Linked DNA regions of Coturnix japonica. Each later gene encodes a partner of the first gene's protein in a complex. Links are inferred from orthologs where the notes say so. Each region holds a gene or a part of one and is shown in the gene's direction. Other genes may lie near its edges. The genes, in order: SNRPD1, SF3B5, PRPF8, CWC15, RBMX2, GEMIN4 and LSM5.

The links.
Region 2: SNRPD1 (region 1) and SF3B5 share a complex: the UniProt entries of both Homo sapiens proteins name them as parts of the minor spliceosome. The link is inferred for Coturnix japonica from reciprocal best matches to the Homo sapiens genes SNRPD1 and SF3B5.
Region 3: SNRPD1 (region 1) and PRPF8 share a complex: the UniProt entries of both Homo sapiens proteins name them as parts of the U4/U6-U5 tri-snRNP complex. The link is inferred for Coturnix japonica from reciprocal best matches to the Homo sapiens genes SNRPD1 and PRPF8.
Region 4: SNRPD1 (region 1) and CWC15 share a complex: the UniProt entries of both Homo sapiens proteins name them as parts of the minor spliceosome. The link is inferred for Coturnix japonica from reciprocal best matches to the Homo sapiens genes SNRPD1 and CWC15.
Region 5: SNRPD1 (region 1) and RBMX2 share a complex: the UniProt entries of both Homo sapiens proteins name them as parts of the minor spliceosome. The link is inferred for Coturnix japonica from reciprocal best matches to the Homo sapiens genes SNRPD1 and RBMX2.
Region 6: SNRPD1 (region 1) and GEMIN4 share a complex: the UniProt entries of both Homo sapiens proteins name them as parts of the SMN-Sm complex. The link is inferred for Coturnix japonica from reciprocal best matches to the Homo sapiens genes SNRPD1 and GEMIN4.
Region 7: SNRPD1 (region 1) and LSM5 share a complex: the UniProt entries of both Homo sapiens proteins name them as parts of the U4/U6-U5 tri-snRNP complex. The link is inferred for Coturnix japonica from reciprocal best matches to the Homo sapiens genes SNRPD1 and LSM5.

What each region holds. Positions count from the first base shown.
Region 1 is NC_029517.1:39,382,146-39,386,363, reverse strand, and holds the start of SNRPD1 (small nuclear ribonucleoprotein Sm D1), read left to right. Parts: upstream 1-1,418; 5' UTR 1,419-1,595; coding exon 1,596-1,609; intron 1,610-2,161; coding exon 2,162-2,238; intron 2,239-3,327; coding exon 3,328-3,519; intron 3,520-4,218. UniProt on the Homo sapiens protein: Plays a role in pre-mRNA splicing as a core component of the spliceosomal U1, U2, U4 and U5 small nuclear ribonucleoproteins (snRNPs), the building blocks of the spliceosome.
Region 2 is NC_029518.1:41,251,704-41,254,137, reverse strand, and holds SF3B5 (splicing factor 3B subunit 5), read left to right. Parts: upstream 1-1,398; 5' UTR 1,399-1,451; coding exon 1,452-1,712; 3' UTR 1,713-1,934; downstream 1,935-2,434. UniProt on the Homo sapiens protein: Component of the 17S U2 SnRNP complex of the spliceosome, a large ribonucleoprotein complex that removes introns from transcribed pre-mRNAs.
Region 3 is NC_029534.1:4,156,542-4,160,760, reverse strand, and holds the start of PRPF8 (pre-mRNA-processing-splicing factor 8), read left to right. Parts: upstream 1-1,419; 5' UTR 1,420-1,538; intron 1,539-2,127; 5' UTR 2,128-2,137; coding exon 2,138-2,237; intron 2,238-2,316; coding exon 2,317-2,485; intron 2,486-3,066; coding exon 3,067-3,231; intron 3,232-3,332; coding exon 3,333-3,551; intron 3,552-4,131; coding exon 4,132-4,219. UniProt on the Homo sapiens protein: Plays a role in pre-mRNA splicing as core component of precatalytic, catalytic and postcatalytic spliceosomal complexes, both of the predominant U2-type spliceosome and the minor U12-type spliceosome.
Region 4 is NC_029516.1:165,900,184-165,904,367, forward strand, and holds the start of CWC15 (spliceosome-associated protein CWC15 homolog), read left to right. Parts: upstream 1-1,384; 5' UTR 1,385-1,407; intron 1,408-1,441; exon of another isoform or gene 1,442-1,553; intron 1,554-2,748; 5' UTR 2,749-2,756; coding exon 2,757-2,887; intron 2,888-4,184. UniProt on the Homo sapiens protein: Involved in pre-mRNA splicing as component of the spliceosome. Component of the PRP19-CDC5L complex that forms an integral part of the spliceosome and is required for activating pre-mRNA splicing.
Region 5 is NC_029519.1:1,522,345-1,526,417, reverse strand, and holds RBMX2 (RNA-binding motif protein, X-linked 2), read left to right. Parts: upstream 1-1,273; 5' UTR 1,274-1,322; coding exon 1,323-1,327; intron 1,328-1,409; coding exon 1,410-1,525; intron 1,526-1,673; coding exon 1,674-1,725; intron 1,726-1,803; coding exon 1,804-1,933; intron 1,934-2,055; coding exon 2,056-2,236; intron 2,237-2,650; coding exon 2,651-3,096; 3' UTR 3,097-3,604; downstream 3,605-4,073. Other genes in the region: RAB33A (ras-related protein Rab-33A), read left to right, coding at 740-1,195; SLC25A14 (brain mitochondrial carrier protein 1), read left to right, coding at 3,914-3,977. UniProt on the Homo sapiens protein: Involved in pre-mRNA splicing as component of the activated spliceosome. As a component of the minor spliceosome, involved in the splicing of U12-type introns in pre-mRNAs.
Region 6 is NC_029534.1:5,681,792-5,685,977, forward strand, and holds the start of GEMIN4 (gem-associated protein 4), read left to right. Parts: upstream 1-1,386; 5' UTR 1,387-1,399; coding exon 1,400-4,186. Other genes in the region: GLOD4 (glyoxalase domain-containing protein 4), read left to right, coding at 199-312, 393-479, 742-807. UniProt on the Homo sapiens protein: The SMN complex catalyzes the assembly of small nuclear ribonucleoproteins (snRNPs), the building blocks of the spliceosome, and thereby plays an important role in the splicing of cellular pre-mRNAs.
Region 7 is NC_029517.1:78,884,415-78,888,507, forward strand, and holds the start of LSM5 (U6 snRNA-associated Sm-like protein LSm5), read left to right. Parts: upstream 1-1,293; 5' UTR 1,294-1,383; coding exon 1,384-1,429; intron 1,430-1,716; coding exon 1,717-1,812; intron 1,813-2,248; coding exon 2,249-2,276; intron 2,277-2,638; coding exon 2,639-2,711; intron 2,712-4,093. Other genes in the region: late secretory pathway protein AVL9 homolog, read right to left, coding at 488-580. UniProt on the Homo sapiens protein: Plays a role in pre-mRNA splicing as component of the U4/U6-U5 tri-snRNP complex that is involved in spliceosome assembly, and as component of the precatalytic spliceosome (spliceosome B complex).

The sequences.
Region 1 (4,218 bases):
ATTCATTAGTTAGCTCTTGAAAATACAGGTTTGGGTTTTTTTTTCTTTTCTTTCAATGGATGTAAATGAAATCAAAGAATGTAAAACTCCTTGCAGGGTTTATCAAACCTTCCTTATGCTAAAGGCCCAAAGTTCTCCATCACTTTAAGAATGGTTGCAATGCAAAGGTGAATTTGGTATTGTTTTTGCTAGTCAGCTGCTTCTGTTCTTGATGTTGTTGGAATAACTCACAAAAAAAAGGAGTATGGATCAGAGGAGGAGGTGTCACCCTAATGCCATGTTGCACTTGGGAGCAGCTTCTTGCTTTTCATGCATGATGTAACACACTTTAAAAGGAAAGGTTTTTTTCTTTAAAAAGCTACAAAATAACATGTGCTGGTTAACAATAAATGTGTGTCTTTAAATTTAGTGCTTCCAAGCTGTATAAAAAACAAGTAATCCTACTTGAGGACCAATTTTAAACTATTTTGTCACTTATTTTATATGGTTTGTTCAAAACCAGCCGTGAAACTTGCTTAAGGCGCTGCACATTGTTTAATATTTCCTGTAAGTACAGCTGTATATTCAGATTGCAGTTATAAAATGTAAATGGGGGGAGAAACGTGTAGAATCTTAGAGCTAGCACAGTTGTTGTTACTGAGGTTAGAACACAAAGCACTGATACTCCAGTGTTTCACTGTGTTGTGACTGAAACTGTGTACAGACTTTTGCAGTTATCTGTTCATTTTAACCTTGAATGTTGCTGGAGGCTTCTGGTTCTATGTGAGCATAACCTGCACATAAACATCAGTACTCACCATGCCTCTGTCTGCTTCTCGATGCTGTGCTGGGAATACCAATTGGTGGTTAACTGGAAACTCCTCTCTGACTTCATTTACCAGTGTCACCTCTGTCATAGACTCAAAGTGCAGGAACACCATAAACTCAGTATGTAATGGTTCTTACGGCTCTCGGGCAGCTGCCCTCTCAAACTTGGTTCTTTGCGGTTTGTTTAAAGCAAAACATAAAATAACAGATTTCATGTGGAAAAGAAGAGCTGTGGTGTGTGTGTAGGGATGGAGGGAGAGACGTGGGTTAACGTGGGTTCTCAGAGCTGGAGGGCAGCCAGATCTCAGTGCTTTACAAAAAGAGTCTGTATTGCAGAAATCACAACAGTGTACTCATCAATGATAATAAAAGGTCTGATTTTTCTAGATCCTGGCCGCTGCGTTTGTGTGCCTGAGCTCCTTATCAACTGCTTAACGTAGAAGCATCGCTGGTGCGGACTAGACTATTTGCACACAGCTACAGTGCTTAGATACGTATAATCCCGAGCCCACCATTCCAAAATGGCGGCAGCGCATCCCCTCAGTGCCCGCCCGCCCTCAGCCCCGCGCAGTCGCGCTGCGTCCCGCCCCTTCCGCCGCGCCGCTTCCGCCCATTGATCGCAGCCGGCGGCGGCCGCTCAATCTCTCGGGGCTCGGTGCGCTCGTTGGAGGCCGCGTTCCTGTCCGCCCGCGCTCGCGGCGCTTCCGCCGAGGCCTTTTCGTGCCCCCAGGGGCGGCCGCCGCTGCCCGCCGAAAGCCCCGCGGCCGCCGCGCCGTCCCGCCGGCGCAATGAAGCTCGTCAGGTGAGCGGATGGAGGCGGATCGCGGAGAGAGGCGGCGGGGAGCCCGCGCAGGCCGCCTCCCCCTCCCCACACACAGGCCGCCCGGCCTGTCGGGGCCTCGTTGCGGCCTGGGCTCTGCGGCGAGCGGCTGGGCCTGCGAGCGGGGCTGCCCGGGAAACCACCCCGGGGGGTTGGGGGCGGAGCCGGGTGGAAGCGCCTTCACGCGGTGCCGAGATCCAAAATGGCTGCTGCTTAGCTGGTGGTCAGAGAGCAGCCCGAGTTGGACGGGATGCACGAGGGATCCCGAACCCAACTCACGCAGGGCGCTCAAAACACAAACCCTGTGACTGGAAGCGTTGTCCCGACGCTGCTTGAGCCCGGTGCCACCGTTTCCAGCCCCTGGCAATTGGGCGCCGTTTGGGGCTTTGGCTTTGCCCCATGGAGCACCTTCAGTGCAGTTCATGGCAGCTGAGAACGTTTGCGTTAGGATGTACATCGATCGGTTCCCCGTATCAGCATGTGGTTGGACATAAGGCTTAGTGTGACAGCAAACACTCTGTGCTTAATTCCTAGGTTTCTGATGAAGCTGAGTCACGAGACTGTGACCATCGAGCTGAAGAACGGGACGCAGGTGCATGGCACCATCACAGGTACGGTGTGCCAGCAGCCTCCCAGGCTGATCTGAGCTGTGTGGGGTAAAGGAAACCGGTGCTGGCGTGGCTGGTGTAAGTGTGGTAATCTGAAATTACTGCAGCAGCATGCAGGCATTGTGAGACAGTGTCACTGCTGTATCAAAGGGCAGTGGTCATACAGCCTATCCACTTATGTTTCAGAACATTTTGGGGCTGGAACTTGAAGGTCCCTTCCAACTTAAACCGTTCTGTGATCTCATTGGTAAAGCTGCAGTACACTGTAGTTGCATCAAGAAGTCACCACTGAGTCACTGGCAGAGAGATATTTTTCTAACGGTAGCACAGATAAATGGTAAATGCTGAACATGGTTACAATCTACTGAGATGTAAGGGTTAAAAGCACGTTATTTTGCAGCCAGATCCGTCCATTTTGTTAGAAGCTGGCTGTGGTGGCAGCACTCTGTGCCTCCTACCCTTGTACTCTCACAGCCTTCGCTGTTGAGCAAAGTCTCTCTCATGCTGTGCTAAGAACCTGTAAAACCCTGCAGTGCCATCCATGGTTCTAAAATGACAGTCATCCCTGTACATGGGTGTACGAAGCCTGTTGCAGCCACGGTGCCACCTGCAGTTGGTGCTTCTGATGCTGATGTTAGATGTGTTTGATCAGAAGATCATGGTTGTACTTAGAAGGAAACGCAGTGTTATTTTTCTACTCAAAAGTTCGTTTTCTTTCTTTTGAAAGGAGTAAAAAAGACAAATATTATGCTTTTGTAGTAAGTGGCAGTTTATTTGTTGTCCGGAGGAATCATTTTAAGTGTTTAGTGTTGCTATGACTTAAGACCTAGGAACAGATCCCTACAGCTGGTGGTAAGTGGCTCTTCCTTTGGAAATATATCAGTGTTGAGGGCAGCAGCTGATAAATCAGCATAATTAATAGAGGAAAAAAAGATGTAGTTTCTTCTTCCACTTAAGAGGCTTAATTAACAAATGGCACAGATCCAGAAGCGTGTGTTAGCAAAGTCTTGAAGCACGTGCACAGTTAATAATAGCCAAAGAGGAGTCATCCTGTGTGTTCCCACCCCTGAAATCAGCCTTGTGTTATTTCAGGAGTGGATGTCAGTATGAATACTCATCTCAAGGCTGTGAAAATGACGCTGAAGAACAGGGAGCCTGTACAGCTGGAGACATTGAGCATTCGGGGGAATAACATCCGATACTTCATCCTACCAGACAGTTTGCCCCTGGACACCTTGCTAGTAGATGTTGAACCAAAAGTCAAGTCCAAGAAAAGAGAAGCAGGTGAGTGCATGATTTCCCAGTCTCTGCTTGTTTTACTTTGTGTTTTCGTGCTCTCGCTCTGAAGGCATGTGATTGGAAATCTTAATTTCTGTATTGCTTTCATCTCTGAGGGTTTGTACCGAACTCTGCCTTGTGTACCTTCATTGTGTCTGTAGTCTCCTTTCATGAGAAGTTATTTACACAGCTTCTCATGCATCTGTTTTAAAGTGTAAACGTCTTTAAGTGTGAGTAAATCTTAACCTATGGCATTCTCAGAGGCAGCACCAATGGGATGCACAGTTTCTCTTTTCAAAATGTCTGCTCTGTTTCCCTGGTTTCTGTGTGTAACTTTGTATTTAGCCTAATAAGAAAATATAGAGCAGCCTCAGGAGCGGTGCTGGACTGAAATCTCACTTGGCAGTGGATACAAACAATCTGCTGGAGAACCGAATTGAAGGGGCTTCAGAATGCAGAGGGAGCTGAGGCTGTGTTCCTGTGGATAAAGCCCTTAAAGCCTAACAGAATAGGGAATGCTTCTGGTTTTGTTCTGCGCCGTTAACAATTAATATCCAGTAAACTCCACAAAGTTTGTGTCTTCAGGCAGTAAAAGTTTTGCCCAGCAGTGTTAATCAGTGTGTCTTTCCAGAAATAAGTTAAAGGTAATCGTGCTCTAAAGCAACTGCTTGCCATTTCTCCTGTAATTTATGCTTAATTATTTGG
Region 2 (2,434 bases), on another chromosome or scaffold:
GTTAATTTATTGTCCTTATTTAATTTCTCTCACAAGAGATCTTCATTCATTTTAGGCTACCACAACTTCCAACAATTTTTTTGCACTATTGTACTTGCAGAATAAATGAATATGGTTAAGAATAGAGGAATTTCTTAAATATATATATATGTATATATATATATATAAATGACACCCTTCATTTCATCACCTGTGTGGGCTTTTATTGCAGTTATCGTTTAAAGTAATCCTTTCCCCTTTTTGGAGGGGCAGCTATGTCTTTTTCATTCAAAGAGCCTACAGGAAACGTGAAAACACGGCTATACCTTGAAGGGGACAGTCACTACCACCCTCTATTGGTGCATCTGCCTCATCTACTCTGTTCCTTTTGATCTTGCAGCAGAAACCCACAGCTCCCGTGCAATGAGTACGGAGTCGGTACAGCTCTGACACCCAGCGGCCACTTCACTCTCGACCGGCTCCTGAATTCCAGACAGTTTCAAACTCGGCTTTGACTGATTGTTGCTTAGAAGATAGATAGTTTAGGGTATTATATTGTTTTATTGTTTTGACACTGCTTTGCATGGCCTTGGCTTCATAAGATGCTCATTTATGAAGAAGCGGCCTTGAATCATCTGGATTAGATTTCCGTGGGTTTCTTTGGACTATACAGCATTTACAAAGAAATAGCTTGAAGCATCCTCTCAGAAAATTGCTGGCTACGTGTCTTTCCTATTTAAAAGCAAATAATTAAAGTCAGCACTCCCATGTGACAGCATGTATTGTTCCACACTTATTAAATTTAACATGGATTTTAAAACTAGAGAAGAAAAACTGCTTATTTGATGAATAATAGAATGTATTTCATTCCCAACTTTGACCAAGTTTGATAGGTGATACAAATTATAATTTACAAGTTTTATATCTGATTATTCTATGATCAAGAAAGACTACTTATTTGATGAATCATAGAATGTATTTCAGTCCCAACGTTGACCAAGTTTGATAGGTGATACTAATTATAAGTTTTCTATCTGCTCATGAGTTTAATATCCACATGAAATATTACCCACATCAACAAAAGAAAAATAATTTCCAATGGTAACATTTGATCCTAGCTTAAACATAGCCCTTGTGCCTGCCCAGCTGCAAAGTTTGCCTTTGCCCACAGAATCATTAAGGTTGGAAAAGACCACTAAGGTCAAGTCCATCCATCAGCCCATCCCTGCTGTATCACTATGTCCCTCAGTGCCACGTTCAATTGGCTCTTGGACACCTCCATGGTCCAACATGTCCAATCTAGGACTACACCCCCCGACATGCCTTTATAAACCCGCATATTCTTCCCCCCCCCCCCCCTCATCCGGGATAGTCGGCGAAATCCCCCCCGCTCTCCGTTATGGGAGCGGAAAAGGATCCCTTCGTCCTGTGGCGTCATTTCCTGCCGCCATTTGACTTGCAGGGGCAGCGCCATGACGGACCGCTACACCATCCACAGCCAGTTGGAGCACCTCCAGTCCAAGTACATCGGGACGGGCCACGCCGATACCACCAAGTGGGAGTGGCTGGTCAACCAGCACCGCGACTCGTACTGCTCCTACATGGGCCACTTCGACCTGCTCAACTACTTCGCCATCGCCGAGAATGAGAGCAAGGCTCGCGTCCGCTTCAACCTGATGGAGAAGATGCTGCAGCCGTGCGGGCCGCCCGCCGACAAGCCCGACGAATCCTAACCCGTTGCCCTGCACACCGGCTCCGGGCTGGCTGTGACTCCACACGCCGCGGGGAGATGGTGGGAGCCGCCCCGATCCTCGTGTCCACCGAAGGGAGCTGCAGGGAGAAGGAAGCTCTGTGTAACGCCCTCTCTTGGACACTTTCGTTACGCTCAGTTGCACGGCTGTTCGCCCTTTGTGGTTTTTTTTTAATGGGAAATAAAATCCGCTGTCTGTTTCTAACGTGTTGTGTGGTAATCAACAATAGCAGGACACGGGGAAATGGTTTTAAGTTAAAAGAGGGAAGATTTAGGTTGGATGTTTGGGGGAAGTTTTATTCCTAATGGAAAATGTCAAAGTAAAGCCTGGCTAAGGTTGTATGTGAGTTTACCAGTGGCTTTTTTGAAGTTGGTGACCTCAGAATTTCTGAGCAATAAACGCCTCATACTCTTTACCAAGCCTTATAATCTAAGCTGCTGAAGATGCTGCAGTAAGAACAAGTGCATGCACTCCTGAGGTCACATTCAAGCCATAATATCCATCTGAAGAACTCAGGAATAGATTTTGTTGTTGCATGTACTACAATGAGGGCAAAGATGAAATGATCCTGAATCAAATGTAACCTGCTACATATGTGGGGACTAGTGCTGTTTGCAAGCCATTGTAAACAATGTGAGCAACAAGTGTAAGGCACATGGGCAGAGCTGAACGCCTCCTTCCTCCAGGCCATCTCTATTATATGA
Region 3 (4,219 bases), on another chromosome or scaffold:
GGATGGCTATTTCAGTGTTGCTTGGACTTGTGGCTGTGGATCCTGGGCAGAGGAGGTGCTAGTGGATCAGACACTGGGGGCTCTGCTCTCCAGCACCTATGGATGATGTGGTTGAACAACCAGGAGCTGCTCAGAGAAGCCCTGAAGGCTCTGGCAGCCCTGAGAAGGGAGCAGGGAGAATTGTTTCCCCTTTGCTTTTCTGGACGTGCAAACACTACTGTGTGTTTCTAACCTCTTAGGTGCTGCACCCTGCAGGGTCCTATTGCCTAAGGGACTCTGTTCTACCTCTGGCACTTCCCATGGGACAGCACCAGGCATCTCCAAGGCTTTGCCCTTCAGTCCAGGGCTGGTTAAAGCCAAATCCTGCACCTATAATTCCTCACAGAGGAGACTGTGCCAGGTGAGAGATGAAGGTTTGGACCTGTCCTTATCAGATGCTGCTGGCACTGGACTAGGGACAGTGGGAGCTTCAGTGCCATCCTTGGGGACAGGCTGCTAACTTCAGACAACTGGAACTTTTCTAGTGTTATTTTGTTCCCAGATCTATTAACTCCCTATAAGTGAGTGTGGGAGCACGTGAGCTGCAGGTCAGGATGATGGTGTGTGATAGTTGCTTCCTGTGAATGGGATGTTTCACATGGGTTAGATATGGGCATCTATGAGGAACCAGAAGTCTTGGTGTAACGCTCTCAAGCAGCAGCAGCAGCTCTTACTAACACAGGCTTTCAATAAACAGCAAACAAATCAGCTCAAGGCTTTAAAGGGAAAGGACTTTTTACACCCAATTTGCTTTTGAAGGCTGTGGAGCTGCTGGGGGTGCCTCTATCAGCAGCTCTGTGCCCACACAGCCACTGCTGCTCAAGGCTGCCATTGTCACCACGTTCCTGCTGTCACACCATTGCCACACACTGGGGACGTTGTTCTGAGCCCTAAGGGATGTCTCACAGTGCTGGCTCCATACAGCCTGCTGTATAGGAACACATTGTGGGTATGGCTTGTGTGTCCAAACTGAAGGATACAGGGCCCAGCTTTGGGATGGGAACCTGTGGGGACAGAGATGGGGCCTCTCTCTCTCTCTCACAAGGGATACCCATGTACAAAGGGGAGGCTGCCTGAGGAAACCCCCATACAGCCATATCTGCCCCTTAGGGCCCATAGCTGGGACAGCCATATCTGCCCCTTAGGCCTCTTAGGCCCCATAGCTACGGTATCTGATTGTCCAATCAGAGCCGGCGTCGAGCTGTCACCGCTATCCCTCTCCACCAATCAAAATCGGCAGAGGGCGGGACCGGAAATGAATAGGCATTCAACCGGTAGTGTACTCTAAACACAGCTTCCTTTCCTCTTCCGCACTTGATCCCGCCTCCTGCCCTCCCCGCGCTCTGATTGGCTATCCCCGCTGTCTGTGAGGCTGCCCCGAAAGCTGATTGGACGAGCCTTCTAGCCGCGCACCCCACCCACATCCGGGTCTCTCAGGCGCGGTGGTGGTGGGCTGCGCCGCCATTGTGGTGCGGGAGTGCGGGACGTCGCAGCGACCGGTGTGTGCGGGGGGGGCCGGGCCGCGGGGATGTGGAAGGGACCGGGAGGGGGGAGGAGGGAGCCGTGATCCCGGTTTGAGCCCCTTGTTCCTCAAATCTCTATGGAGATTTTGGGCAGGGTCCAGAGGAGGGACAGGAAGATGATCAGGGGGCTGGAGCACCTCCCCTATGAGGACAGGCTGAGGGAGTTGGGTTTGTTCAGCCTGGAGAAGAGAAGGTTGCGGGGTGACCTCATTGCAGCCTTTCAATACCTGAAGGGAACCTGTAACCAGGAGGGGAGTAAACTCTTGGAAAGGGCTGACAGTAGCAGGACACGGGGAAATGGTTTGAAGTTAAAAGAGGGAAGATTTAGGTTGGATGTCAGGGGGAAGTTCTTCACTAGGAGAGTGGTGAGGCCCTGGAACAGGCTGCACAGGGAGGTTGTGGATGCCCCGTCCTTGGAGGTGTTCAAGGCCAGGTTGGACGGGGCCATGGGCAACCTGATCTAGTAAAGGTGTATGTTTGGTGGCCCTGCCAGGCAGGGGGTTGGAACTACATGATCCTTGAGGTCCCTTCCAACCCGGGTCATTCTGTGATTCCTCCTCCACAGGTGTGTCGTCATGGCCGCCGTCTTCCCGTACCGCGGCGGCTGCGCGCCGGTACCGACCCCGATGGCCCCGCTACCTGACTACATGTCTGAGGAGAAGCTGCAGGAGAAAGGTGAGTACGGCCTGGATCCATCGCACCGCGCCCAACGGGACCGGCCTCACCTCATCCCGTTACTTCTGTGTCCCCGCAGCCCGCAAGTGGCAGCAGCTGCAGGCCAAGCGCTATGCCGAGAAGAGGAAATTCGGCTTCGTGGACGCTCAGAAGGAGGACATGCCCCCCGAGCACGTCAGGAAGATCATCCGCGATCACGGCGATATGACCAACAGGAAGTTCCGCCACGATAAACGGGTCTATCTGGGGTACGGAGCTCCCCATGAGGAGCGGTGCCTTCAGAATGGGGCTCTGGGGACAGCTGAGCTCAGACAGCAGCATCACAGCACAAGGGTGGCAGTGGGGTGCAGGAGAGGATGAGATGATGAAGTGTTTGCTTGGAGTTCTTAAGGCAAAATATCATTTAGAAGAGGTTTTGGGGGGAGATTGTGACCTAATCAGCCTTTTTTCCCTGTGATTAAAGTGTCGTGTGGGTGTCTCTGTGTTGTTTGTGCTCAGAGAACTGTCTTGTGTAAAGCAGGGTCTGTTGCGTTCATGTAGTTACCCATAAAAACTCATTCGGTGTTTTTTAGTATTATTATTACTGAATGTTTTTAATGCATAGCAATCTCTCTGAAGCCAACCAGTAGGAAAAGCCTTTTGGTAGTGGAATCTGAAGCAGAAGGATAGTTAAGAAGGCTTGTGGGTTCATCACAGAAGGCCTTTATGTGCAGGTTAGCTGAGCAGTTTTATGAGTGGGAGGTATACAGGTAACTGAACTTGCTGCAGACAGGTAATTGTTCTCTGGCGATGCCTTCCAGCTGTAATTTTCCCTGATTTCTGGTTGTAGTGCTTTGAAGTACATGCCTCACGCTGTTCTGAAGCTCTTGGAGAACATGCCTATGCCCTGGGAGCAAATCAGAGATGTTCCAGTCCTGTATCACATCACAGGAGCCATCTCTTTTGTCAATGAGATTCCCTGGGTTATAGAACCAGTGTACATTGCACAATGGGGGTAAGTGCTTTTTACTTAACTCTGGGGGGACACAATGAGTGAATAACCACACATCCACAATAAAGGCAGCATGTAATGTAATGGTCTCTGGTTTCTGCCAGGTCCATGTGGATTATGATGAGGCGAGAGAAGAGGGACAGACGTCACTTCAAGAGAATGAGATTTCCCCCATTTGATGATGAAGAACCTCCTCTGGATTATGCTGATAACATTCTCGATGTGGAGCCTTTGGAAGCAATTCAGCTTGAGCTGGATCCGGAGGAAGATGCCCCAGTACTGGACTGGTTCTACGACCACCAGCCACTGAAAGACAACAGGAAGTATGTGCCTGCCTGGTAACACAATTCACTGTGGGGCTTTAAGAAAATAAGCACTAAAATCTTCATGCACTACATAAATTAAATGTATGTAAAAGTGCATAACTTTTGCTTATATAATATTGGTCTATGCATGGTGTTGGTGGGATGAGAAAACCTTCTTTCAAGGATAGGAGGGAGAATCTGACTGCTGTAGTCATCCCTCTGTCTTCAGTGCTGAGGGAAGGCAATCAATCCCTCTCTGTCCAGGCAGGTTACTGCATGGGTAACTGGTAAAACTGATGTTTCTTGACACATGATAAGAGTGAAAACCTGGATCATCTAGCTTTTATTTGAGTTTATTAAATATACAGTGCGTTTACAAACTGGAGGCTCTTGAATCTTGTCAGTTTGATAATGGAGATGGAGGGGAACTGGCAGATGTAGTCCATGGAGATCTTCAACAAGCCTGTACATTTTATTTTTCTGCCTGGAGAGGGACAAGAGTTATCTATCCTTCGTATTTTCTGCAAATAGCAGAAAGGTAGAAGACCAGTTGTTTTGTGGCTGCAAAATTAGTGTCCTATGCTTTGTTTCTCTGCAGGTATGTGAATGGTTCTACCTACCAGCGCTGGCAGTTCACTCTGCCTATGATGTCCACGCTGTATCGACTGGCTAATCAGCTGCTCACT
Region 4 (4,184 bases), on another chromosome or scaffold:
ATCACATGGCTAAAATTAATTGCTCTGTCAGAGCTCAAAGAAACCATTTGACTCTGCAGAAACAATAATTCATCCTCAGGGACGAGCTTGTGATAGAGAGCGGCAGAACTGTGTGCTCCTCAGTGCCACCCATGCCCCCAGCACCCTCCTCCCTCCCTTGCTGAGTGCCTTTCAGCTGACATCATGTTGTGGGTGGGGAACTGCTCCAGCACAGCCCCACGGGCAGCAGCTCCCCCAGCCCTCCTGCCCCACTGTAGGCTCCTCTCCACAGGCTGCACCCTGGCCTGGGGCTGCTCCGCCTCCAGGACTCTTCCACTGCTGCACAGTGGGCTCCTCCATGTCTGCATACGGAGATCACAGAATCACAGAATGACCCGGGTTGGAAGGGACCTCAAGGATCATGTAGTTCCAACCCCCTGCCTGGCAGGGCCACCAAACATACACCTTTACTAGATCAGGTTGCCCAGGGCCCTGTCCAACCTGGTCTTGAACACCTCCAAGGACGGGGCATCCACAACCTCCCTGGGCAGCCTGTTCCAGGGCCTAACCACTCTCCTGAGTGAAGAACTTCCCCCTGGTATGATAGAGTGCGAGTGCGCGTTGAGGATGCCTAAAATATCTTTCCCTCTTTTTAATCTCTAAAACATGTCCCCCTTAGTCCTGCTATTATCAGCCCTTTCGAAGAGTTTACTCCCGTCCTGGGAGTAAGTTCCCTTCAGGTATTGAAAGGCTGCAATGAGGTCACCCCACAACCTTCTCTTCTCCAGGCTGAACAAGCCCAACTCCCTCAGCCTGTCCTCATAGGGGAGGTGCTCCAGTCCCCTGATCATCTTCGTTTCCCTCCTCTCGACCCTTTCCAAAATCTCCATGTCTTTTTTGTACTGAGGGCTCCACACCTGGACACAGTATGAGAGATGCGAGATGTGCCTGTGGGCTGCAGGGGGATGGCTCGTTCCCCTGTGAGCCTCTCCTGGGTGCTTAGGAAGGGCCTAGTTCAGGTTCTGTGCTTATTTTTGCAGGGAATTCTTGCTGACTCGTGGATTTTTCTCTGTTGAGAATAGTCACAAGGTCTCTTCCTCATTGCAAAGCCATTGGCAGCCATCAGGAAGCAAAGGCAGACAGTGGAGCAGGAGCTGTGACTGAGCACAAACAGCCAAAGAACCAGCGGGGTGGGAGGCAGCCGGGAGGAGCTGGGATGACTCTGTAAGCACACAGAAAAGCAGCAGCACAAGGGTTCTATGGCAGCACAGCAGGGTGTGTGTACTGCTCACAGTCATACACGACTTTAAAGCACAGCTCACACGCAGTGCTGCTGTACCTCAGGGCGGACAGCAGGTGCCACTCAGGCACCAACAGCGTCTATTTCCACTTCATTATCGAACATGGCGGACTCAATTCCGCACTGAGGTAACAAGTTTTTCCGCCTTCCATCTCTATGGTAGTTCCTCCTTCCGCCGCTCCGCTCTGTGGTGGCTGCGCGGCGCCTTGTGGGTAGAGGGCGGGATGATGGCGGTGGCGTAGGGCCCGGCTGCTCAGCGGGAGGAGACCCCGAGGTCAGAGAAGGGGGATTGAAGGGATTAAATCGGGGCTTCTGAATGTGGAGGGTCGGCCCTGGGGTGGTGGGCAGCCTGGGGGGACACCGGGAGGGAGGTTGAGGCCGTGGGGCGGCCTGGACGGGCCTGGGAGAGCGCCGATGGAGGCGGCTCAGCCGAGCCGGCGTTGTGCGGCACTGACGGGGCTGCTCCAATGCTGCGCTGATGGAACCTGATCGGAGCAAACCCCTGGTTGCCCCCAGCAGCTCAGGCTGCACAGGGCTCATCCAACCTGGCCTTGAGCAGGGATGGGGCACACAGCTCTATGGGCAGCTGTGCCAGGGCCTCACCACCTTTTGTATGTCTCTTATTTAAGTCCTTAGGCTGTGCTTATGGATGTGTGTAGTTTCGTTTAACAGACTGAAGATGGCACTGATGGGTCATCCAGGGTGGTTGGTTGGTTTGATTCTTTTGTTTTGTTTGTTTCTTGGTGGACTGCCCTAAACTTTTGGCTCTATGGTTTGGGTCTGCGTGGCCTCCAGCTGCTTTGTGCAGTGCTGAGCACTTCTTGGCATCAGTTATATGGGAGCCATAGTGGTGAGGCTGGTCTCTTTTCAGTAGTGTGTTGGGACAGGACTAGGGGTAATGGGATGAAAGTACAGCATAGGAAGTTCTGCACGAATGTGCACAAGAACTTCTTTACAGTGAGGGTGACGGAGCACTGGAACAGGCTGCCCAGGGAGGTGGTGGAGTCTCCTTCTCTGGAGATATTCAGGACCTGCCTGGACGCCTACCTGTGCGACGTGGTGTAGGGAGCCTGCTTTGGCAGGGGGGTTGGACTCGATGATCTCTAGAGGTCCCTTCCAACCCCCACAGTTCTGTGATTTCATTATTAGATCCTGTGTTTTTTTCCAGAGGGGAAAGAATTACTCTTCTACCAAGATATAAGGATAGGAGACTGGCTCCTGGCATTTTATCCACTTCTATAAACATGACCTCACATTCTTGATTGAGTCTCTATCATCTTTCAGGCATGTTGGAAAAGAAGCTGTCAGTAAAAGAAGCTCTTAAGCTTTAAGGCTCATGCACCAGTTGATAATTTGTATTGTGTAGTGGGATTTGCTGTTGCTGCAGCAGTTCCAAGAATGACGTAGCTTCTGGTGAATGGCTTTCACTTTAAGTTATAGTAATGACTGTTTTTTGCCCTTGACTCTAGTAACTAAAATGACGACAGCAGCGAGGCCAACGTTTGAGCCTGCAAGAGGAGGGAGAGGAAAAGGTGAAGGAGACTTAAGTCAGCTATCCAAGCAGTATTCCAGCAGAGACCTTCCCTCTCATACTAAAATCAAATACAGGTAAGTATCGTTATTGTCTGTCTTATAGCAAAGCAGCCTGGAGCTGTTTTGTTGTTTTCTTTCTTTGTGATGTGACCAACACTCTGAATTTCTTTCACGTTAGATATTTGTTTGCTTGACATTAAGCAGACACAGAAGCAGGCTTAGGAGATTGAGTGGGTTGCAACTGATTTGGAAGGTTTAGTTTTAGTGGTGTCAATAACTGCTTGTGGAAGGGAATCAGGAGAAGGTAATCTTTACAGATTAAGCATTTCAGGCAATGGAGTGAAAAGAAAAGCATTGGGAACATACAGAGACAGCTGAGCTAGAAAGGTGGTGTGACTTACAAGATGGGATAGGAGGTATGAAGTTGAGTATGTCATATATTGGCAAAGAACCTGGGGAAGAGCACTAAGAAGAGGCAGGGCAATGTGTAACAGCACTCAGGCATTAGTAAGTATTGGAAGAGCTGATGTTAAACACTAGAAGGGTTCTAGAAGAGCCTGTTGCTTTAACTGGTGTGAAAGATAATGGGATTTTATATGAATACTATCCTGTGTTTGGAATGCTTAATAATTTATGTTCTTTTAAGATAGCATGAAATCTGGAGTCAACATGCCACAGGATTTAACTGAGTTGTGTCAGCCTGAAAATAGTCTTTTTTTCTAGCTTAAACTGTTGCTTGGGTTTTGCTTTCTTAGTGCAGATATTTACCCTTTCACTGCTTCCCTTCCACCCATTTGAATAACTTTGAAGGTAACATGGATACGGGAGGTGGGATGTTCAGAGATCACCAAAAGCAACAGCACAAAATGTGCTATTAAGGGAAAAGTGGCTGGTGGTCTGTCTCTTTAAACAGAGCGGGAGTGTGGAGCACCAGTCTGTTGTTCTGAAATGAGTGTGTGGGAAGAAATACATACAGGAATATACGATGTGTGTGTGGTAACGAATCCCTTTGAGTGAGTGTGTATGTGTGTGTGAAGGGGCATTAAGCATCTTAAGTTCATTCTCCCAAATATCAAATACAAAGTTGTCTTTGCTAATTTGCCAAGGGCTGCATAATTGCAAGAAAGATTTGGTATTTCAGTCCCACTCTCCCGTGCCTCTTTGACAAAAGGCCTGGGGGGGATTTTTGCAGCCATGTCAGGGATTCTGAATTCAAGTTTTTAATTGTAAAAGCAAATGAAATGCTTCAGCATAAAGACAGCTTGTGCACGCAGTGTATTTCTAATGACTGGAGCCTGGGTTTCTTTCAGACACTCTTATTTCCAAACCTGAGTTCACAGCAAGGTGAAAGGAATTGCTGCATGTTGTTATT
Region 5 (4,073 bases), on another chromosome or scaffold:
ATTTTTGCTTGACTTCCTCTTTGTTCACATGGGCAGCTCAGAGGTGGAGGCACATCAGTATTGGGTAGCTTTCTTTGGTCCCATTTTCCTATAGGTCCTTGACCCACAGGACTCTTTCAGAGCCACCTCTTGGTTAATGAGTTGGCTTTACCTTCACAGCTGCCCTGCTGAAGCTGGCCCAGCGTAGCAGCTTCCCTCGCTGGCTCTTCTATCACTTGAGTTTTGAAGTTGGAATCTCACGCTTTAAGCTGTGCTGTGTTGCCCCTCCAGCATACACTGGAATGGCTGAAGGCCTCCAGAAGGGCCTAAGCCTGCAAACATGAGACTCCCATCTGTCTGCAGAGGGCACCTTCCATTTACTCTCCCTGATCAGGCTGGAGCTGCACACTGCCCTGTCTCCATGGCTCTCGGCTCTTTAATCCTTATTGTTTGCCTGGTTCCTCCCCCAGACAGAGCTCCATGCAGGAACGCCGCTCTCTTTGCCCTGCCTCCTTTGTGGATACAGAGCATCATTTCAGTGTCCTCATACAGCACAGCATTAGGTGGGTTGGTGTGTTAGTCTGTTCTGACACGAGCAGTGCTGTGTGCAGTTTGACAGGGATGATGGCTGGGTACACCAACATGGGGCAGGTAAGTCACCGGGCTGGGGCCTTTCACCCCTGTAGCACAGCAATGAGCAGAGCAGCAGCACAGCATCCTGCAGCAGCAATGGCTGCTCACGCCGTGTTGTGCCCCATAGGTGCAGGTGTGGGACACGGCCGGGCAGGAGCGGTTCCGGAAGAGCATGGTGGAGCACTACTACCGCAACGTGCACGCCGTGGTCTTCGTGTACGACGTCACCAAGATGGCGTCCTTCACCAACCTCAAGATGTGGATCGAGGAGTGCAACGTTCACGCCGTGTCCCCCCTGGTCCCCAAAGTGCTGGTGGGGAACAAGTGTGACTTGAAGGACCTGATCCAGGTGCCGTCCGGCATGGCTCTCAAATTCGCCGACGCTCACAACATGCTGTTGTTCGAAACCTCGGCCAAGGACCCTAAAGAGAGCCAGAACGTGGAGTCCATCTTCATGTGCCTGGCCTGCCGGCTCAAGGCGCAGAAGTCGCTGCTCTATCGCGACATGGAGAAGCGGCCGGGCCGGGCGCAGAAGCTAGAGCCGTCACGTGACGCCCACGGTAAAAGCGCGTGTCCGTGCTGAGCGCCGACCAATAAAGCTGTGCGGAGCCCTCGGACTCGTTGCTTTGCTTGGCGCGCATGCGCGGCCGGGGCGGGGGCGGAGGCGGGGGGGTAAGGGGGGCGCATGCGCAGTGCGCGCCGCCGCCGCCATGAAGTAGGTTTGGATGGGGGCTGGGTGAGGGGGGGGTGTGCGACCGGCCGGTGCTAACGGTGCTAACGGAGTGCATCGCCCCCAGCCCGCTGACCAAAGTGAAGCTGATCAACGAGCTGAACGCGCGGGAGGCGGAGCTGGGCGTGAGCGAGGCGGTGTCGTGGCACGCCGAGTACAAGGACAGCGCGTGGGTCTTCATCGGTACGTGTAGGCCGCGATGGGGGGACGGGGAGGGAGGAGAGAGCAGGGCTGTGGTAGGCCCTGTGCTGGGCTCCGTGCTGGGCTCCATGCTGGGCTCCGTGCTGGGCTCCGTGCTGGGCCTCCATCGCTGCCCTGTCTCCCCCCGCAGGCGGGCTGCCCTACCAGCTGACAGAGGGGGACGTCATCTGTGTGTTCTCGCAGTAAGTTCCTACCTGCTCCATCCCCATCTTGCTGTGCCCCTCCAGCCCTGCTCTGTGGCTGCTGATGGTGTGTTCCAGGTACGGGGAGGTGGTGAACATTAATCTGGTGCGGGATAAGAAGACTGGGAAGTCCAAAGGGTTTTGCTTTTTGTGCTATGAGGATCAGAGGAGCACCGTGCTTGCTGTTGATAACTTCAATGGGATCAAGGTGAGTGATGGAGCTGTGTGGCTGCAGCAGCTCCTGGAGCGCTCAGAGCACATCAGAGAGAAGCTCCATCGGCTGCTGGCCCCACAGCACACGCTTTGCTGACTACCTGACTCCTGTCCTAGATCAAAGGCAGGACGATCCGAGTGGACCACGTGGCCAACTACCGGACTCCCAAGGACTCCGATGATTTAGATGATGTCACAAAAGCCCTCCATGCAAAGGGCTGCGGAGTGAAAACACCACCTCATACGTCGTCAGATTCCTCCTTGGAGGATGAAGACACGCCAGCCCAAAAGCAAAAAGGTGAAATGCATTTCTGCCCATCTTTGCCCTGGGTGGGAGGATCTGTGTGGGCTACAGGGACTCTTAGCTCAGCGTACAGCAGGGATAGGGATCCTCTTGAAAACAGATGCAACCCGAATGTCCAGGCTTATCCTCTGTGATCTGCGTCACACTGCCAGTATTTATCTATGATCATTCACCCCCTGCCTCTGGAGATCCTTATTTTGCAGGTTATAGTGGCACTCTTCCTGGAGAAAAGGAGTTGGGCTGGGCTGCAGGGATGTTGCAAGGGGGAGGGGGCAGGACAGTGGGGGACAGGGAGAAGAAAGGCTCCAATAAAGCCTTTCTCTACAGAGCTCTGGTGCTCTGTAGCAGAACTGGTGGGGATGATGCTTGCAGGACTGTCCATCTCTAAGGATGACCTTTTTGTTTCAGATAAAGAGAAGAATAAACATGAACGGCAAAAGCAGAGCTCTCAGGCTGCAAAGAGAGCAGCACCTGCCGAAGAGGCACATCCGAGAATCAAGATTAAAAAGGAGAAGGAAGATCCTGGCTACGAGCGATATGCTGCTGGTGGGGGTCAGCAGTCCTGCAGTGAGTCTGAGAGGAAACACGTGAGCAGGACGCAGCGAGATGAGGAAGAGCAGAGACACCAAAGGTCGTCGGGGAGGAGAGGGGAAAAGAGCTCCCAGGAACACAGAGGGCAGAACAGCTCACGGGAAGAGAGAGGAGAGGTCAGCAGGAAGGGTGAGGGACACAGCAGCTGGCGAGAAGAGTGTTCTGAGGGAAGCAGATCCAGGCACCGGCGGGAGAGCAGCAGCAGAGAGCCCCATTCCAAGCACAGGGAGCGTGGATCCACCAGAGATTCCAGCCGTCACTGAGCCCTGGAGTGAGCACCTTCTGGGCCACAGCTGTGCTCTGTGAGCTGCACCGGGAGCCTGTCTGAAGCCTCCTGCTATGGCCCTAAGGGTACCACAGCTGTGTCTCGTCTCACACACACCACTCTGACCGGTTCACTCCTCAGACAGGTTGCTCTCAGTGCTGTGGGCTGTGATGTGGGCTCTGCTGCTGCCTTGCTCGGCCCTTCTGTGCAGTGGCATCACTCAGACGGTTGTGGAGGGGCTCACGGCACAGTGTGGGCAGTGGGGTGCTGAGCAGCAGGATACGGACACCGAAACTGCCCACGTTGTTCAGGGGGAGCGTCCCTGTCTGCAGTGGGGCGGTGGGTGCTTGCAGGCGGGCACGGTGCTTTGTGCCCCCAGCCCGTCCTGCTTCCTTTGTTTATGTGATGGATATCAGAGGCTGCTGAGCCATCGCAGTTCATGGCGTTTTTTGTTTTAAACTCCTTTTAATAAAAATCGATCCTTTAACCAGAGGAGATGACTGGGAGCACTGCTTGTGTCCGGTTGTGCTGTTTGGACTGAGCATTGATGGCAGCTGACACAGAAATGGGGAGCGCACAGCAGTGGATCTGAGCTGCGCTTTGCTCTCGGGGTGGTTCCGGTCGGTCCCGTGCCTGCAGCGCTCTCCCGTCTCCTCCCCGCCGTTCTCGGGCGGTGCCGCTGGATCCCAATTGCGGGCCGAGCTGCCGGGTCCGCCCGGCTGGGGGGCGCAGTGCTTCCCGTTCCGCCGCGCTTCCGGTTCCGGGTGGAGTTGAGGCAGTGTCCGGCCCGGCGCGGCGGCGCGCCCCGCCATGCCATGTCCGCGCTGAACTGGAAACCCTTCGTGTACGGCGGGCTCGCCTCCATCGTGGCCGAGTTCGGTGAGCTGCGGCGGGTACCGGCGGGTACCGGCGGGTATCGGCGGGTACCGGCGGGTACCGGCGGGTATCGGCGGGTATCGGCGGGTACCGGCGGGT
Region 6 (4,186 bases), on another chromosome or scaffold:
AGTACTAGGAGATACCTGTCTGCTATCAGCCAAATCTCTCAGAGATGATCAAAGTAACGCTGATCAGATCCTTAGTTTACATTTCTCACAGTGGGAATGCAATGAAGTTGCAGATAGCAGGAAACTATAAATGAGAACAGCCTGAATATGCCCTGGCTTCACCTGACTGAGGCTGATGTTATTTGTTTTCTCTTTAAGTTGCCAAACATTGAAGCACTGATGAAAAAGGAGAACCAGAAGATTTTAACGCCTCTGGTTAGCTTGGACACACCTGGCAAAGCTACAGTGCAAGTGGTCATTTTGGCTGATCCTGTGAGTAGCATCAGAAACAGTAATAAAATCAATGTCTCTTTCCTGTTTATCTGCCTGACCTGCTGTTGAATTGGGTTTAGGATGGCCATGAAATCTGTTTTGTGGGAGATGAAGCATTTCGAGATCTGTCCAAGGTGGATCCCAATGGTGGCAAACTGTTGGATGATGTAAGTAATGATCTGTCTTTTGTTTTCATCCTGATCACAGCCGCCCATGGAATCAAATATTCTTTGCAGCAGAGCAGCTTTCAGTGCCTGTTTTCATTACTAATATACAAGAAACAGTTTCTTCATCAGGCTGGCTTTCCCCCTGGATTATAGAGCCTGATAATCAGCCTGTTGTTGTGGGGCAGGGTGGTGAAAGTGGGCAGCTCAGTGTTTGGAATGGCAGCTGAGTCAGCCAAACATGCTCCTATTTTCCTTTGTTCAGGCCATGGCAGCTGACAAGAGCGACACGTGGTTTGCTGCCCGGAATATGAAGAAGGTGTCTGCATAGCTGGAGGAGGAGCTGGGCTGGCAGGTCATCATGCCTTGGTTTTCATCTGAGCTGTGCTGTCCATCCCATGGGAGGGCTCAGTCACGTCCCATGCTGTTCTGTTGGTTCCTTTTCAGCTTGTATCTCTTTCATTTCAAGCTCCTCTTTATTTTCAATCAAATATCAGGTGCAACTTCAGACGTGAGTGTAAAGCAGGGAGGATGTTGGGCACGTGGCTTCCAACGCTGGAGCTGCAGGTGAATGCCTCCTAGTGCGGTTGCACTTGAAGGAGAAGTTGCCAGGTTGATTAAAGTATCCAGATCTGTCATGAATGAGCTGTAGCCGTCCTGACTGCAGCGCAGGGCTGAGATTGGTGTGGTAGCAGCAGCTGCAGTGCCCGGTGCTGTCGGTCAGGCTGCTCGTTATTGATCTCTTGATGAAAAGCAGCAGCATTAGCAATGCCTGCAATGAATAGTCTAAATGGGAACAGTTCTCGACGTGCCGGTGTTGCTTTGGCGTTGATGCAGTCAATGAGTCGGGGTCGGATCAGTGCTGACGGTGATGCCGTTGTTGGAAATGAGCCTTGATGTGAATAAATTTTTATGTGAATTTTATGCAATTTTATGTGAATTTTATGCAATTTTATGTGAATAGAAGCACCGCGCGGCTGTGTGCGCAGCGTCCTTCCAGCCGGGGGCAGACACCTCCGCTCCGCCAGGGGGCGCTGTGGGATCGCGGCGGCCGCCTGCTCTGCCGGAGCGGAGCGCGGGCTGCGTTGTCTGCTCCGTTGGCCGCCATGGAGCCGGGCAGCGGGGAGCGGGTCGGGCCGTGGGGCGTGTGCGAGGAGACCGCCATCCTGCACGGCGGCTTCCTGCTGGCCTCCAGGCTCCTGCAGCCGCGGCCGTTGAGGGAGCTGCTCAAAGCCGAATGGCCGCTCGTCGGGCCGCCCATCACCGACGCGCTGAGGGAGATCGGGGCCCGCTGCCCTTCACCGCGGCAGCACGGGCTGTGGAAGAAGGAGGCCGTGGCCATCGTGTGGGCCAAGGTGCTTCTGCCCGCCCCGCCCGCCGCCTCCCTGGACCAGGAGTGGAAGGAAGACGCCTTTTTCTCCGTGGGAGCGATGATCCCCGACGTGAACCGCACCGTTCTCTTCGAGCTGGTGAAGGCCCTGGGCGCTCCCCGGCTCTTCGTGCAGTTACTGCTGGCGCTGCCCCCCGACGTGAGCCGGGCTGAGCTGCGGCACCTGGTGCAATATGTCAGCCACGAGACGGCCCCGTCGGATGTCACATTGCTCATGGATGTGTGGTGGGAGGCGCTGAGACAACAGCCGGATCCGGAGGACAGCACGGTGGCTGCATTCGGCTCCCTGGTGCGTGAGCACGGCTGTGAGTGCGCTCTGGATGACGGCTTGCAGCCCCCAAAGAGGTTCAAGGGGGACCCCAGCTCTCTGAATGGCCCTCCTGCTGCAGACAGCCTGCTTGGGGTCCTCATAGAGGGGTTAAAGCAAAGCTACGGCAGCATCACCTCACCCCGCATGAAGTGCTACGCCCTGGGCAACCTGGTGGAGCTGCTGTCTGTGTTCACCGAGCTGAAGCCACAGGGCAGCCCCCTCCCTGTTGCAGAGTACCTGGCCAAGGTCAGCTCAGTGGTCGGCCTCTGGAGCAGTGACACTGAAAGCCAGCACCACCACAGCGAGCTGGATGAGAAAGTGAAGGAAGCTGAGAGGACCATGAGCTTCTCATCCATGGCCAAGCTGTCGCATGAAGAACTCATAGCTGGCTTGGACTTTCTTCACAGCTTGTTGTGTGCCTGGGGAGAGGAGCTGCGGGGTGTCCTGAACAGCTCAGAGAATCAATGCTATGAGAGCTACTGGCTCCTTGATACTCTTTCCACCTTCAGGAAGATCCTGGTTCGCTTCTCTGAGACTGGAGACCTGAGTGAGGATGAGATGCGTGTTGCATTACAACTGGCACAGACAGTTGATGGCTTTCTCACAGAGATCAGCACCACCCAGAAGAACAAGGATTTGGACACCAGCCTTGAATCCTCAGTTGCCATGATAATCATTGAGCAAAAGCTGCACCGGCACATGGAAGTGTGCTCCATTTTTGCTTCTGAAAAGACCTGGGCCTTTTCAAAGGGCTGGGTTGACTGCCTTGTGAAAAACAAGGTTCTTTTCCAGAAACCAGAGCTGGTTTGGAAATTGCTGGAGACTCTGGTGAACTTTGCCACATCCTGTGAAGGCCGTGAGGCCCGGGAGATGCAGATGCAAATGATCAAAGCCATTGTGGAGTGTTACAGTGAGCTTCCATTAACAGACAAAAACAAAGTGATCTCGGGTGTCCTGGAGGCTTGGGGTGGGCCAGGGCTCTCCCTGAACTTGCAGGTTGTCATGGATGGGTTCCAGGAGGACCTCAATGTGACTTTCAACCAGATCACTAAAAGCTTATCTGATGAAGGCATTACCAGGGCTGTGGCTGCTGTGGCTAGGCTTGCTCTGCTGCACCCTGAGGCCACTGTGAAGCAGATTTGTAGTCTTGCTGTAGTCAACCTAGGAGCACATCAGTTCCTGGCGCAAATCCTCTGCTCTTTCCCAGCTCTGAGCTTCCTGGAGACTCATGATGGTCCAGGCAGCCTGGTGGTACGGTGCCTGAAGGAGGCAGCATGGGAAAAGCTTTCCTCTGCAAGGGAGGAGGAACAGTTTCTTGAGTTTTTGGCCTTTCTCCTGCAGCCAAGTTCAGCTGCCCCACTCGTATCACCTGCAGAAGTGACCAAAGCTTTTGTCCTTCCCTATTTGAAATCAGACTGTGCTCAAATTGAGCTGAGCCTGCAGATCCTCAGTAAAGTTTTGGGAATACGGTCCTACCCAGAAGAGCACTGGATCAAGTCCTGCCACCCGTTCCCACTTCTCCTCAGCCTCTGCAAGCTTCTAGATGGCTACACAAAGTACTGGCATCAGCCTAAGGACCAGCTCTTCCCATCCCTGGAGATCAAAGACCTGGTGCTGAGTGTCCTCAGCCAGCTCTGTGAGGTCGTGACTCCAGAAACTGCCTCCTCCCCAGAGGTTTGGGTCCAGTCTCTGGCCTGGCTTCACAGGAAGGTGGCATCGCTGGACTGGACCATTGGTCTCCGACTGAAGAAGTTTTATGGAGACCACTTCAAGAATGAGGTCCCAGCGACGCTATTTGAGATCTGCACATTCCCTGAAGATGAATGGACATCCCAGCCTTTGCCAGCCTACGGGCCGGGCAGTGGACTGCTGGCATGGATGGAGTGCTGCTGTGTGTCCACTGAGCTCAGAGAGACGATGCTCTCACTCCTCATGGTCAACGTGGACAACCCCGAGGAAGTGAATCTCTTCAGCAAAGGCTTCCTGGTGGCCCTCATACAGGTCCTCCCT
Region 7 (4,093 bases), about 40 Mb from region 1:
CAGTTTCCTCAGGTTTCTAGATACTGCCCAGTCACAGAACGTGGAATGACTGCAGGAGTTTAAATGCCAGATGTAATTCTTGATGTAAGACTTGAAGAAAAGAGTTTGAATACCAGTCGTTTGATTGGATCAAATGGCATTTTATATACTCAGTCTCAAATAAATAAATAAATAAATCATTCCTGCAACAGCCTCGCCAAGATTTAGTTAGAGAGCAAAGGAGGAAACGCAACGAGAGCACAGAATACCTACGAAACACAGCGGGCCTTGAAGACACACTGAGCGCCGGTAACGCACAGCTGTTGGGTGGCCCCGTCCCCTCCAGACAGCCCCGCGGAACCGCTCCAGCCCGACCCCGGGCCCCCCACAGCCCGCACCGGCGGGGGATCGCAGCAAGGGGCTCGTAACCGGCCCCCAGCCCGCTGCAGGCAGCGCCCAGCCCAGAACCAGAGGCACGCTCCCGGGGCCCAGCGCTCACACCCCTCACCTGACAGCCCTTCTTATGGTGGAAGCCCACTACCACGATATGCAACACCGGGCCCCGCGGAGGGGCGGCCGGCGGCGCGCCCCGCTTCTCCATGGAGCCCGGCGATGGCCGCTCCGGAGGATACCGCCCAGGCCGGGCTGTCGCTCCGCCTCCTGGTGCCGAAGGCCGAAGGGACGGACCCCAACCGACTGCGCTTCCGCAGAGCCCGGCGAGGGGAGGCGGAGCGGGGCCGCCCTCTTCCCCTTCGCCCTGCCCCCAGCCGCGCTGTGTCCCGGCCCGCCCCGCCCTCCACTCTGTGCTCTGTGCGGTGGGCGCCGAGCGGGAGCGTGCGATGAAACTGATATAGGAAAGTGCTTGGTTTTATTAAAATTAGATACATTAGGGGGCAAAAGATAGGCTATAAGGAACAATCCAGAACTAGCAAGCGAATGATAAGAAGGAAGGGTAGAGCTGCAATCAAGCAGAAGCTCTTAGAAATAAAAGAATCCTGCTGGAATTTTCTTTCTCAGTGTATATCTAATAGATACCAATAAAAACTCAGCCATATATACCAGAGCTGCTCTCAAACTAACGCCTCCTGTTTTATTATGCTGGCCCATGACATCAGAGGTGGATGTTGGTATGGCAGTAGGGGCTACACCTTCCTGCCGTTATATTCCATTATACTTTGTTGCCTTGTGACCGATGGCAGCAGAAGGGCAGTCAGACAGGCTGCCACCTGACATGGCAGTGTGTATAAACAGGAGCGGAACTGAATTCCCATTGCGGTCGGAGCCCAAAGGAGAACACGGCGGTAGAACGAGCGCTCTGCCTGCCGCTACTCAGGGCTGCGTCCCGCCCGCCACAGCCTCTACTTCCTCAGGAGGCGGCAGCCATTGGCCAGCTCTGGCGGCAATATGGCGGCCAACGCGAGCACCAACCCCTCGCAGCTCCTGCCGCTCGGTGGGCAGCGCTGCCGGCGGGTTCTCGCGTGGGCTCGGGCGGGGAGGGAGGGAGGCTGTGACCGGGGTGGGAGAGGCTGCAACAGGGGCTAAATCGGGATCTATGAGCGAGAAACTAAATCGGGATGTAACAAAATTAATTCACCCCTCTTCGTGTTGAGGGAATACGTGCTCCGGGTGTAGCGTTGCTGTTGTTTCCAGTCGGTCGGAGATGATGGAGGGTACCTCTGGGCTGATTGATTTCCTGCAAATACACTAATGCACTTTTGTTGTTTTTAACATCTACAGAGCTTGTGGACAAATGTATAGGTTCTCGCATTCATATCGTGATGAAGAGCGATAAGGAAATTGTTGGAACTCTGCTAGGATTTGATGACTTTGTCAGTATCCTTTGGTGGGTGTTATCTGTGGCCATTAGCTTCATGGGGAAAATCATTTCGTTTATTGTTAAGAACATTAAGCTGTTTGGTATCGGTTTTTTGCTCGTTAGTGGTTTTTGTTTGTTTTTTTATCGCTAAAATCACAGTTTGGTGTAAAATAAATTGCCCATCTCTATACTGCCCTTGTGAGGCCCCCAGCACAGGAAGGATGCAGAGCTGTTGGAGCAGCTGCAGAGGTGGGCTGTGAAGATGATCAAATGCTTCTGTTGCTGGAGGTGTACAAGGCCAGGCTGAATGGGCCCCATGGCAATCTGATCTAGTGGGTGCAGCCTACCAGCAGCAGGGGTTGCTCTGTATTTGGAACTGGGTGGGCTTTACAGTCCCTTCAAGTTCTATGAAAAGAAATCTGGGCCTTATTTTCCTTGAAACTGAGCTTTCAGATATGGTGTTAGAAGATGTTACAGAATTGTAAGTATTATTTTTGTCTCTCATTGCTATTCAGACTTGGGTTTCCTGAGAAAGAATGCGGTATAAGGTCTGTGCTATCACAGATACTTATAAACTGAGCAGTTTTGAATTGTTATTGAAAAAAATGCCAAGTTTTAGAGGGCAAATCTGTGTCTTTATATGCTGAACAAAAAAATACAGCAAATCTGTTTAGTTGCCAGGTAGCTTTCCCTGCCTAGTGGGTCAGTGCATCAAGATGATGTTGCAGTGTTATTTCCAGTAAATGTCATCTTAATATGTGGACTTGCATTGGTGCTGTAATCAGAACTTTATTCATTGTTGATGATTGCATGCTCATATTTTTTTTTCTAATATTGCTTCAGTGAGATCACACCTGAAGGCAGAAGAATCACAAAACTAGACCAGATTTTGCTAAATGGAAATAATATAACAATGGTAAGTCATCACTGTAAATAGTCTGCTTGTGTTTCTTTACCTGTAAATCTGATTGAATTCAACTACTTGAGTAGTTTCTAAGGCATATGGTTTATGAATGATGCTGGGAAAGTGATCTTATTGCTATATTTCATATATTTTATGGTTTAAAATGCATGAAAAGAGGAGCATGGGCATGACTATAGTTTTGGTATATGCTTTTTTGGTTTTCATAAGGTGTGTGAGGGAATCTTTGGACGAGTTTGGTTGACAAAGTGGCTTTTGACTCATGAGTGTCTGTGTAAGTCTGTGGGTTGGGATACATCTGCAGTTCATCCATTATGTATAGGTGTGTTTGCAGCAGCTCAGATACTTATAAGCTTGTTAAGTTACTTGACTATTATTAATCATTATCATGTGATGCCGGATGCTCTGGAAAAAAATAATAAGGTGGAGTTTTGTTGGACTATAACAAATCAGAAGCACTTTCTGGTTGTTACTCGCTGATGTGTATAGATCAGTACTGAAACAATACTGTAGTTAGTTGAGCATCACTAAGTGAATTCTGCATCTTTGTAGATACTTTACCACAAAAGCAGACTCACAGTACATCATTTGCTTTCCTGCACAGATGGGTGCAAAATCTGGACTTCCTGCATAAGGCAGTTCATGATTTTGTTAACAAGACAAGTGGAAGGCTGACTTGAGTCTATCTGTTCTGTGTGAATGGGGAATAATCCCCATATTGCTATCTCACCCTTCTGAGTAAAAGCTATTTTGACTTAATTTCAAAACCTTTTCTTGCTTCGGTTATTGTTCTGCATCTTTAATGCATTGTGCATGTTCTGACTTCTTGTGTGGGTAAAATAATTATTTTATATTATTATTATTTATATTATTTTAACAAAGGAGTTCCTAAAGAACATACATTTTTTTGTCCTTGTTACTCATTCCAAGGTGAATCTTGAAATTCTACAGTTTGTTTTTAAGAGCATTTCAAGAAGCATTTCTTCAACTGATTCTTCTCCAGACCATTGTTATGCTGAGAAGCTTTTTTGCTCTTCCTGACTTTTAGTGATAAGCAAAGCCGCTATATGTATACATGTAAGACCAAACCTTTCTATAGACAGTAGGAAACAAGCCAGCAAAGTATTTTCCTGTGAATAAAAGACTTAAGAGTAAATATAAAAGGAAATATTAAAAAGGTAAACAAAGGTAAAGGGGAAAAAAGATAAAAATCATTTATATTTTCTTAATAATGAACAGCACACTTCCAAAAGAGAAAGACCCAGGGTGCTTTTGAGTCAGATTCAGTAATTTTATGGCACAGTTGTAACATGTGCCCTTAAAAAAGGCGCAGGATCTCCAGTCAGAAGCATGGCTGGGTTTTGCTAAATATGCGT